2 linked regions of the Saccharomyces cerevisiae S288C genome follow. Changing the gene in region 1 together with any one later gene gives a genetic interaction. Each region holds a gene or a part of one and is shown in the gene's direction. Other genes may lie near its edges.

Evidence for each region.
Region 2: of SEC59 (region 1) and ROT1, extra expression of one rescues a mutant of the other (dosage rescue), as found in Saccharomyces cerevisiae (one study listed by BioGRID).

What each region holds. Positions count from the first base shown.
Region 1 is NC_001145.3:294,679-299,621, reverse strand, and holds SEC59 (dolichol kinase), read left to right. Parts: upstream 1-2,883; coding exon 2,884-4,443; downstream 4,444-4,943. Other genes in the region: BUD22 (Bud22p), read right to left, coding at 1-754; translation initiation factor 3 subunit CLU1, read right to left, coding at 4,655-4,943. UniProt on the Saccharomyces cerevisiae protein: Catalyzes CTP-mediated phosphorylation of dolichol, the terminal step in de novo dolichyl monophosphate (Dol-P) biosynthesis. Dol-P is a lipid carrier essential for the synthesis of N-linked and O-linked oligosaccharides and for GPI anchors.
Region 2 is NC_001145.3:661,631-666,022, forward strand, and holds ROT1 (Rot1p), read left to right. Parts: upstream 1-3,121; coding exon 3,122-3,892; downstream 3,893-4,392. Other genes in the region: cyclin CLN1, read left to right, coding at 1,014-2,654; DNA repair protein RAD14, read right to left, coding at 4,215-4,392. UniProt on the Saccharomyces cerevisiae protein: Required for normal levels of the cell wall 1,6-beta-glucan. Involved in a protein folding machinery chaperoning proteins acting in various physiological processes including cell wall synthesis and lysis of autophagic bodies.

The sequences.
Region 1 (4,943 bases):
TGGAGTGCGTCTGATTAGCATTGGCCGTCTTCTCCCTTGCTCCATACTTCTTTGCTTTCATAGCGCTTACATCAAATCCAAATATGAGACAAATACTCAAATCGAATGATTCGGTTAGATTTTGAACGATTTTACTTTGACCAATTAGTGCGTTTAACTTTTCACAACTTGGCAGCTTCGTAATAACTTCATTCCATATATTGCTTGGGTTCCACTTACTTGTCTTATCATTGATATAACCACTATAATCATTGTTATTCAACCAAGTTTTATTATTCGTATCACCTTCAATCTTTTTGCTTTTTTGTTTGATCCTCTGGTGTAAGATTTTGATCAGCCTAAATCTTGTCATGAAGAGTGCTAAATCATCTAATGACAACTGCGTAGCAAGCATCTTTTCAATATCTATAGAGGGTGATTTATTTTTTTGAGCATCCTTCACTTTACTAGAATTTTTTTTGGATATTTTCTGAATTTGTTCTTTTATACATTTTGATAAATGCGTCTCGTAATAGTGAATCTTATTATTGAGTAACTTTGAGTAACTTTCATCTAGTTCTTTGTCCAAAGTTTTCAACTCTAAAGAGTTTAACAGTTTTTCAATTTTCTTTTTGTTCTTTTTACCTATACAATTGTATAATTTGGCAGTTTTTGGATATCTTGGTTCAAACTTCTGTAATGATTTTGTCAAATAATGGTACTGATACTCCAACTGATCAAGCTTGTAGATAGAGACGGATGATTCGGAAGGCATGTTTCCTTTGGGTTATCCGTACACTTGACCTCTTTATACGTATATACTGGTTAAATTGCTTAAAGTAGTCATTCATACACTAAATGCACACAGTGATGAGGTAGATGAGATGAAAATTTTTGCCATATGGGCCATGTAATGTCTGGGTGTTGCTTTAATCGATCACTAACAGATGAAAAAGGTAGAATGGATAAAATACTTAAAGAATTTTATATGGCTTGTGATCAGACTGACGTGCAAATCATTTGATGAGACGTTTTCTTCATTGATGTTCTCAAGAAAATATATAGCTCAAGAAGTTGTCATCACATCACAATTAGTTATAATTAACGCAAGAGAAAATTTACTCAAGTTAATATATTTGAACTCAAATATATTGAAGAGATTAGAGTCGTCCAAATAGTCAGCATTACAATGGTTCGCTTGACCCAATTTCTAAATTTGCTAAAAATATTAAAGCTCAGTACCACGCCCTGTCACAGGCGAAATATCATCAAAGTTAATCGATAAACATTCGAAAAACGCAGTTGACCGTCGTGAAATGTGGAAATCATCATAAACAATTTTTGAAATTGGAGAAAAGTTAAAAACCTTGAAACAGTTTGTACGATCTCTCATCTCTCTCAGATAAATTTTCTAGTTTAAATTGCATCAGACACTAATTGCTCTTTTCAATCATGAAGATCAGACATATGCTTGTCTATTTGAGTAATTTGTTTCATCTTCTGCAGCATTGACGTCTCTAAGGTAGAAATTTTCTTTAAAAAACATGGAAGCAATACAGACACATCAACTGATGAACTAGTTATCTGTCGATTTTTTTCTATTTCCAAATTCTTTGCTAATCGAAAAGAATAATGTAAACAGCTTCAGAAAGGCATGAATGGTAATTTTAATAGTTGTGTCTTCACGAATGATCAGACTCGTCATCTATAAATATCTCATCATAAAAACCAATTCACATAATTATACGAAAATGAGAAAAAAATCCATTCTTCCCTATAGAAAATTCTGTTAGCCCTCAGAAAAACTTACAATGGATCAGTTGCGCGGGTTTTCTAGGCCCGCTAAAGCATTGTCACTCATTTGAAAGGATATTTGTTTCCCCCTCAGTGCCCAGTGCTGTGGATCCTCATTTCCATTGTATCAAATAGATCGAAAACATCAATCTACGGAAGAATAGCACTAAAAAACTACTGTTTTCTAAGCTTAAATGTATTCTTCCAATTTATGGAAATGTGTCAACTTTCTAGTATTTATTTTAAAGGTGTTTGCTAGGTCAGGATAGTGCAAAAACGTATCAACATATACTCGTTCAGCCAGTAATTCCAGCTTTTGTTTTTGTTATAATCATCATATGAACAAACACCTTTGAATAAATATGGAATAAAAAGAAAATTGAAATGGGTGTGGTAAATGAAAGGAGAGCAGAGAAATTGAAGAAATACTACTGTATTTCTATTTAGACTTTTCCTTTCAGTTTTTTCTTCTTTATTGCTAATTAAAAACCTCAGAAATAAGAATAAACGTTCTAATCACAAAAGATTCAGAAACTCTAGTTTGTAAAAATTTATTTTGGTCATCAAGGGAATAATTAGCCTGTGATAATGACAAAAGACATATCTGAAAAACTAACTTTGATAAAGAAGAAAAAAAGAACACGGAAAAAAACGTTTTATGGATTCAATTTCTCTCTCAGCCTTTCATAGCTCCCACTCATCTGAATATTTCTTTTGTATTGATCTTTGTGATGGAAATCATAGGATTCTAATATTGTAACTTATTAAAGAGAGGAAGCATTAATTGCCAATAACCATTTCTGCGTCTCTTATTTATACCCGAAGTAATCCTAGAAGAAAAAAAAATTTTCAGAAATGAAAAAAGTTCTAGATGTATGGGTGTGCGGGTAATGCTAAGATACGTTATTGAGGGCTGTCCGCAATGGTTGGGTTTTCAGGCACGTAATTTTCAAAAGAGTTGTACACGTTGTTAGTCAAGATGGTGAAAATGGTATCGAAGGACGTATTCTATGAAAGATAGAGTTTGTAGTAAGCCAAATATTAGAATTTAGCTAGTAAATCAGACTCCTTTCGAGGCAATAAACTGTCGTTATTCTGTTCATTGCCTATATGGTCGCTATAATACCTCATGCTTCCTTTACCACAATTAAACTAACCCAGAAAACTGAGGGAAGCCAAATGCCAACTGAGGAGATCTGCAAAATCAATATGAGGACTCGTAAATTTGATGTGGGCGGGAATTCTCGAGATTTTGAGTGCTTTTATTCGAATTTTGTTCAAACTGTTATATTGTTGGGCACTTTTTTTTACTGTGTTGAAAGGCTTCAGCCGTGGTCCATTGTTACCGCTGATATATCTTATAAACAAATCTTTGTAAATGTCTTTGTGGTGTGTTTGATAATGGTTGGTCTGATATTCACAAAATATTGGCAACATGGTTACAAAAGCCTACCCAAGTTCGATACCATTTACAGTTTATATTTACCGTTTATGGTTTCGTTGTTGTTCGATACATCATCTACGGTGATAAATACTATTTTGATCCTTTCGGTATTAAATTCATATAGATGGCGAACTCAGTTGGTAGTGATCATTTTACAGCTCTGCCTCATATTTTTTAATTTTGAGGCTGGTGACAGGTTAAAGAATATTATTAGCATAGTAATAAATTCTTTACTGTCGTTAATTTTGAAGTATATTGGGCAATTGAAAAGTTTAGATAATATCGACTCTAATCTTTTTAGTATCCTATTAACCAATATTCTGTACGTTTCAGAGGCTGGCACAGTACATTTTAGAATTTTGAAGGGCATTATCCTTGCTCTCACAACAATAATTTCAATTAACTATGTGCTCAAAAAGGTAATGCACTTTAAACCGTTTATGCTGTCAATATCCTTTGCCATCGGGCTTCCACTTTTTGCCAATACCTTCATTCATTTAGAAGACGGTGAAAATCCGCTACTTTGGCTGGTAAAATATATCTTAGAGTCTACTATTCGTCAAAAGATTTTGTTTGCTTGGTCTTCAATTCTTATACTGTCCATACCAAGTATATTGATCGAGAAGGACAGTCTATCGTTGAACACCTCCCGAAAATTGTGGCATTTCATCATTTTCTTACTCATAATACCGTCATTCCAAATGGATTCAAACTTTGTGAAAATTGCATTGTCCGGAACAATACCAGTCTTCTTATCAATTGAGTACATAAGATTTCAAAACCTACCGCCGTTAGGATCTGCTATTGAATTACAACTAAGAAGGTTTGCTGATGATAGGGACCACAGCGGGCCATTGATCATATCATACCTTTATTTACTCTTCGGAATATCAACACCTTTATTAATGAATAACTCTCCAATGGGTCTAATAGGATTGGGAATTGGTGATTCCTTAGCATCTATTATTGGTAAAAGGTATGGCCGCATTCGTTGGAAAGGTACACAAAAAACTTTAGAGGGAACTCTTGCGTTTATAGTAACGAGTTTTATCGTTTGTTTGGTATTGTTACGTTTTGATAAAGCTGCAATTTTTAACCACCTAACTACTTTACAATTGCTTACCCTTTGTACACTGAGTGGAGTGCTAGAAGGTAATAGTGTGCTTAATGACAATATTTTGATACCTGCATTTATGATGATTTGTGAAAAATTAATTACTCTTTGACAAAGTCAATTATTTTCAACTTTTAAAATTACATAACTAATTGTTTGCATTTATGAATAGAATAAAGAAAAGAATAGAGCAGTAAAGAAAAAAAAATAATTGTAAGTATTTTTTTTTCGTTTTATATCTAGTACTTACACGTAGTATATACAAGTATGGGCTATAGATATAAAGAAAAATAATAAATAAACGAGATTGTTAAGTTAGCTCTCTATTTCTTACCATGCTTCTTTTTATTGTTGGTTTTGTTTTTGCTCTTAGAGTTGGAAGAATCGCCTTCTATAAATGTTAACAACTCATCCACACTTTTGTTAGCCAATTCAGGTTTAACGTCATCCTTCTTTTGACGGTGATTGGTTTTTTTATGGCCAGCTGAATTTGATCCCGTTGTCGACATTTGATCTTGTGCAAGTTGCTTCTTTTGTTTTAAATCCATTATTAATGAGCTTAAACCATTAACCCACTGTCTTGATTGGGCTGAGTGCGTGTGATTCATACCC
Region 2 (4,392 bases), 370 kb from region 1:
GCAAAATAAAAGAGAATGTTACGGGACTAACAGGCGGATGTAAATTACTCACTTAAACGCAGCCAAACATCATCGAGAACTTAGGGTAGCGTGCCACAAAATTTGCATGAATAAACTTTTGTTTTCCTAATTCGACAGCATTCCCTTGTTCGCAACACTTCACTGATAGGAAATCGAATAGCGCACACTCTCTTCTGGGACATACCCCAATGCGGTAAAGCCACGAAAACACCGCGCGTAAAGGGGTAAACAAGTCCATTCCTACAACCTCTTGGAGAAATTCTTTACCTACTACAACCCCGCGCCTGATACTTTCAGTATTCATGACAACTCGAGCCAGATCCCGCTCGTGGGCGTGTTCATTCTGTGACGATCCACTAGCGACTTCTTTGTTCAGCCTGCAAGAGACGCGTTCAAGGAAGAATTCGCGATTTTACTTCTTCGAGGGAATCTCGCACCGCGTTAGTTAGTTTCCAACCTTGAAAGCATCGGAGACGCATTTTTGGCGATTTTGCTGGATTGAGCTGAATGGTGCCAGGTCGAGGCTGGGAGGGAGACTAACTCGAAAGTGACGAAGACTCGAAAATTAAAAAAAAAGATACTGCAGAAGGCAAGATTGAGAATGGAGTAAAGGCAGCGTGGGTCCCCTGTGGAAACCGCAGTTTTCCTGCGCCAAGTGGTACCGGTGCGAGTGCAGCAATTAATCTCTCGATATTTTCTTAGTATCTCTTTTTATATAAGAATATATTTTGGAATTGGTAATGCTTATCTTCAATAGTTTCTTAGTTGAATGCACACTTAAGAGCAAATTGGCCAAGGAGTTCTTCGTTCGCTTTAATTTATTTCCTGGTTATTGTCAATTTATTCATCCCATCTCCCCAGGATAGAAGAAATTAGTGTAATTTTGCTGACAATACATTTTAACGACGATAACAATAATAGCAATTAAATAAAATAGCACTACCACCACTCCACTGCTCGTTAGCTATTTCTGTAAAATAAATAAAAAGATCATGAACCACTCAGAAGTGAAAACTGGGTTAATTGTCACTGCAAAGCAGACATATTACCCAATTGAATTGTCCAATGCAGAACTACTAACTCATTACGAAACCATACAGGAATATCACGAGGAAATCTCTCAAAATGTGCTGGTCCAATCTTCCAAGACAAAACCAGACATAAAATTGATCGATCAGCAACCGGAGATGAATCCTCATCAAACTAGAGAAGCCATAGTAACATTTTTGTATCAACTTTCAGTGATGACTAGAGTAAGTAATGGTATCTTCTTCCACGCTGTCAGGTTCTACGATCGCTATTGCTCTAAGAGAGTAGTGTTAAAGGACCAAGCTAAACTAGTTGTAGGCACCTGCCTTTGGTTAGCGGCCAAAACTTGGGGAGGGTGCAACCATATTATAAACAACGTCTCCATCCCCACAGGTGGTAGGTTTTATGGTCCCAATCCTAGAGCTCGTATTCCACGCCTTTCTGAATTGGTTCATTATTGCGGCGGGTCCGATTTATTCGATGAATCAATGTTCATTCAAATGGAAAGACATATCTTGGATACTCTGAACTGGGACGTTTATGAGCCCATGATTAATGACTACATTTTAAACGTTGACGAAAATTGTTTGATACAATATGAACTTTACAAAAACCAGTTACAAAATAACAATAGCAACGGCAAAGAATGGTCCTGTAAGAGAAAGTCACAATCTTCTGACGACAGTGATGCCACAGTGGAAGAACATATCAGTAGTTCACCGCAAAGTACTGGACTAGATGGCGATACAACTACCATGGATGAAGATGAAGAACTAAATTCCAAAATTAAATTGATAAATTTGAAAAGATTCTTAATTGATCTGAGCTGTTGGCAATACAACTTGCTTAAATTCGAATTATACGAAATATGCAATGGTATGTTTTCTATAATAAACAAATTCACTAATCAAGATCAAGGCCCTTTTCTCTCTATGCCCATTGGTAATGATATAAACTCAAACACTCAAACGCAGGTATTCAGCATTATCATCAATGGCATAGTCAATTCTCCCCCATCTTTAGTCGAAGTTTATAAGGAGCAATATGGTATAGTACCTTTCATATTACAAGTAAAAGATTATAACTTGGAATTACAAAAGAAACTGCAACTGGCCTCTACAATAGACCTAACCAGAAAAATTGCTGTCAATTCTCGTTACTTTGACCAAAATGCCTCTTCATCATCAGTTTCTTCTCCAAGCACATATTCTTCGGGAACCAATTATACTCCAATGCGAAACTTCAGTGCACAATCAGACAACAGTGTTTTCAGTACTACCAACATTGACCATTCATCGCCGATCACCCCTCACATGTACACTTTTAATCAGTTTAAAAACGAAAGTGCTTGTGACAGTGCCATAAGCGTAAGCAGTCTACCTAATCAAACCCAAAATGGTAACATGCCATTATCAAGCAATTATCAGAATATGATGCTAGAAGAAAGGAATAAAGAGAATAGAATTCCCAACTCATCATCCGCTGAAATACCACAACGTGCCAAATTTATGACGACTGGTATATTCCAGAACACAGGAGAACTTACTAATAGAGCGTCTTCGATATCGCTATCGTTAAGGAACCACAATAGCTCTCAACTGTGACCATTTTCTCATCAAGCCTACATATATACTTAATTAATAACGGAATACTACGCTTTTCCATCGTAAGTAATAATGACATTCATACTTGACATTTTAATACCAGATAATTTTAATGCCCACCTACAAACATCTAGCCTCAATATTCTTCACCTGAAACCAGCTGAATAGTAATATACCAATATTCTTTCAACGATTGATATAATTATCATCATGAACGGAAAAGATGACGCGATTTTCCAGTATTTTTTTCTTCCTTTCGTTCTAACGTTTGCGGTAAGCAAAGGAGAGTAGTAATTAGCAAACAGTTATAAATAGAAAGCCTCTCTAAGATTATAGATATATAGTCATACTAAAGCTTGAGATCTCATCTTTTTCGAGAACCTACCGGCATATTAAACTGAAGTAAGACATCATTCTGAGGAAAGGATCGGTATTATAACCATTATTATTTGTTGCACTTTATTACTATGTGGTCGAAAAAGTTTACATTAAAAAAGCTAATCTTAGGCGGGTATTTGTTTGCTCAAAAGGTCTATTGTGAAGACGAAAGTAACTCTATATACGGTACCTGGTCATCTAAATCAAATCAAGTGTTCACGGGACCGGGGTTTTATGATCCCGTAGATGAACTATTGATAGAACCTTCATTGCCCGGGCTTAGCTATTCGTTCACTGAAGATGGTTGGTACGAAGAAGCTACTTACCAGGTAAGTGGCAATCCTCGTAACCCAACTTGCCCCATGGCTTCGTTGATTTATCAGCATGGTACATATAACATTTCAGAAAACGGTACGTTAGTTCTGAATCCTATTGAAGTTGACGGTAGACAACTATTCAGCGACCCATGCAATGATGACGGAGTTTCGACTTATTCTAGATATAACCAAACAGAAACTTTCAAGGAATATGCCGTAGGTATAGATCCTTACCATGGTATTTACACCCTGCAATTGTACCAATATGATGGTACTCCAATGCAACCACTATATTTGGCTTATAGACCACCAATGATGCTTCCAACAGAAACTTTGAACCCAACATCGTCAGCGACCAGCACTGACGACCCATCCTCTAATAAGAAAAGATCACTGAGAAGTTTAGTGAGGAGGAGCCTGGAAAACAGACACAAGACGAATGCCATTAAAAGACAAAATACCTCATTTTTAACCTCCAATGCCATTTGGTATATTTCTGCGGGTATGCTAGGTGTAGGTTCATTATTATTTTTAGCATTTTAGGCGCACTACAGGGATACTTATTCAACCAATGGGGGAAAGAGGCCCCATGTGGCCTTCAAATAAATATTAAAAACTATAAACATATAAGGCAAAACAACTTTATCAGGCGAGAAAGAGAAGCAAGAATAGGTGTAATTTTATGCACCCAAGGAATTGATTGTAATCATATTATTAAATAAGGTGGATGAATAAAAGATTTTCAAACCAGTTTTTCCGAGATAGTTAATTATGTACGAGTGACAAATGGGATATCAATCAATGAACACAATCAAAACACCTTATTATGACTTTCTTGTTATATTCTTATATACATAACCAACATTTAAATGTCAATTTCTTCAGTTTCTAGCCCGCAGTCTGTACATCTTCTTCTTTGAATTTGATAACCGTCTTCATCAATACCTCCATCAACTGGATCACTAAAATGATGAATATGGGCTTTCCCATGCTTCTTTTCTCTTAATCTATTAGTATATTCTTGAGCTCTTGTTTTCAGTCGC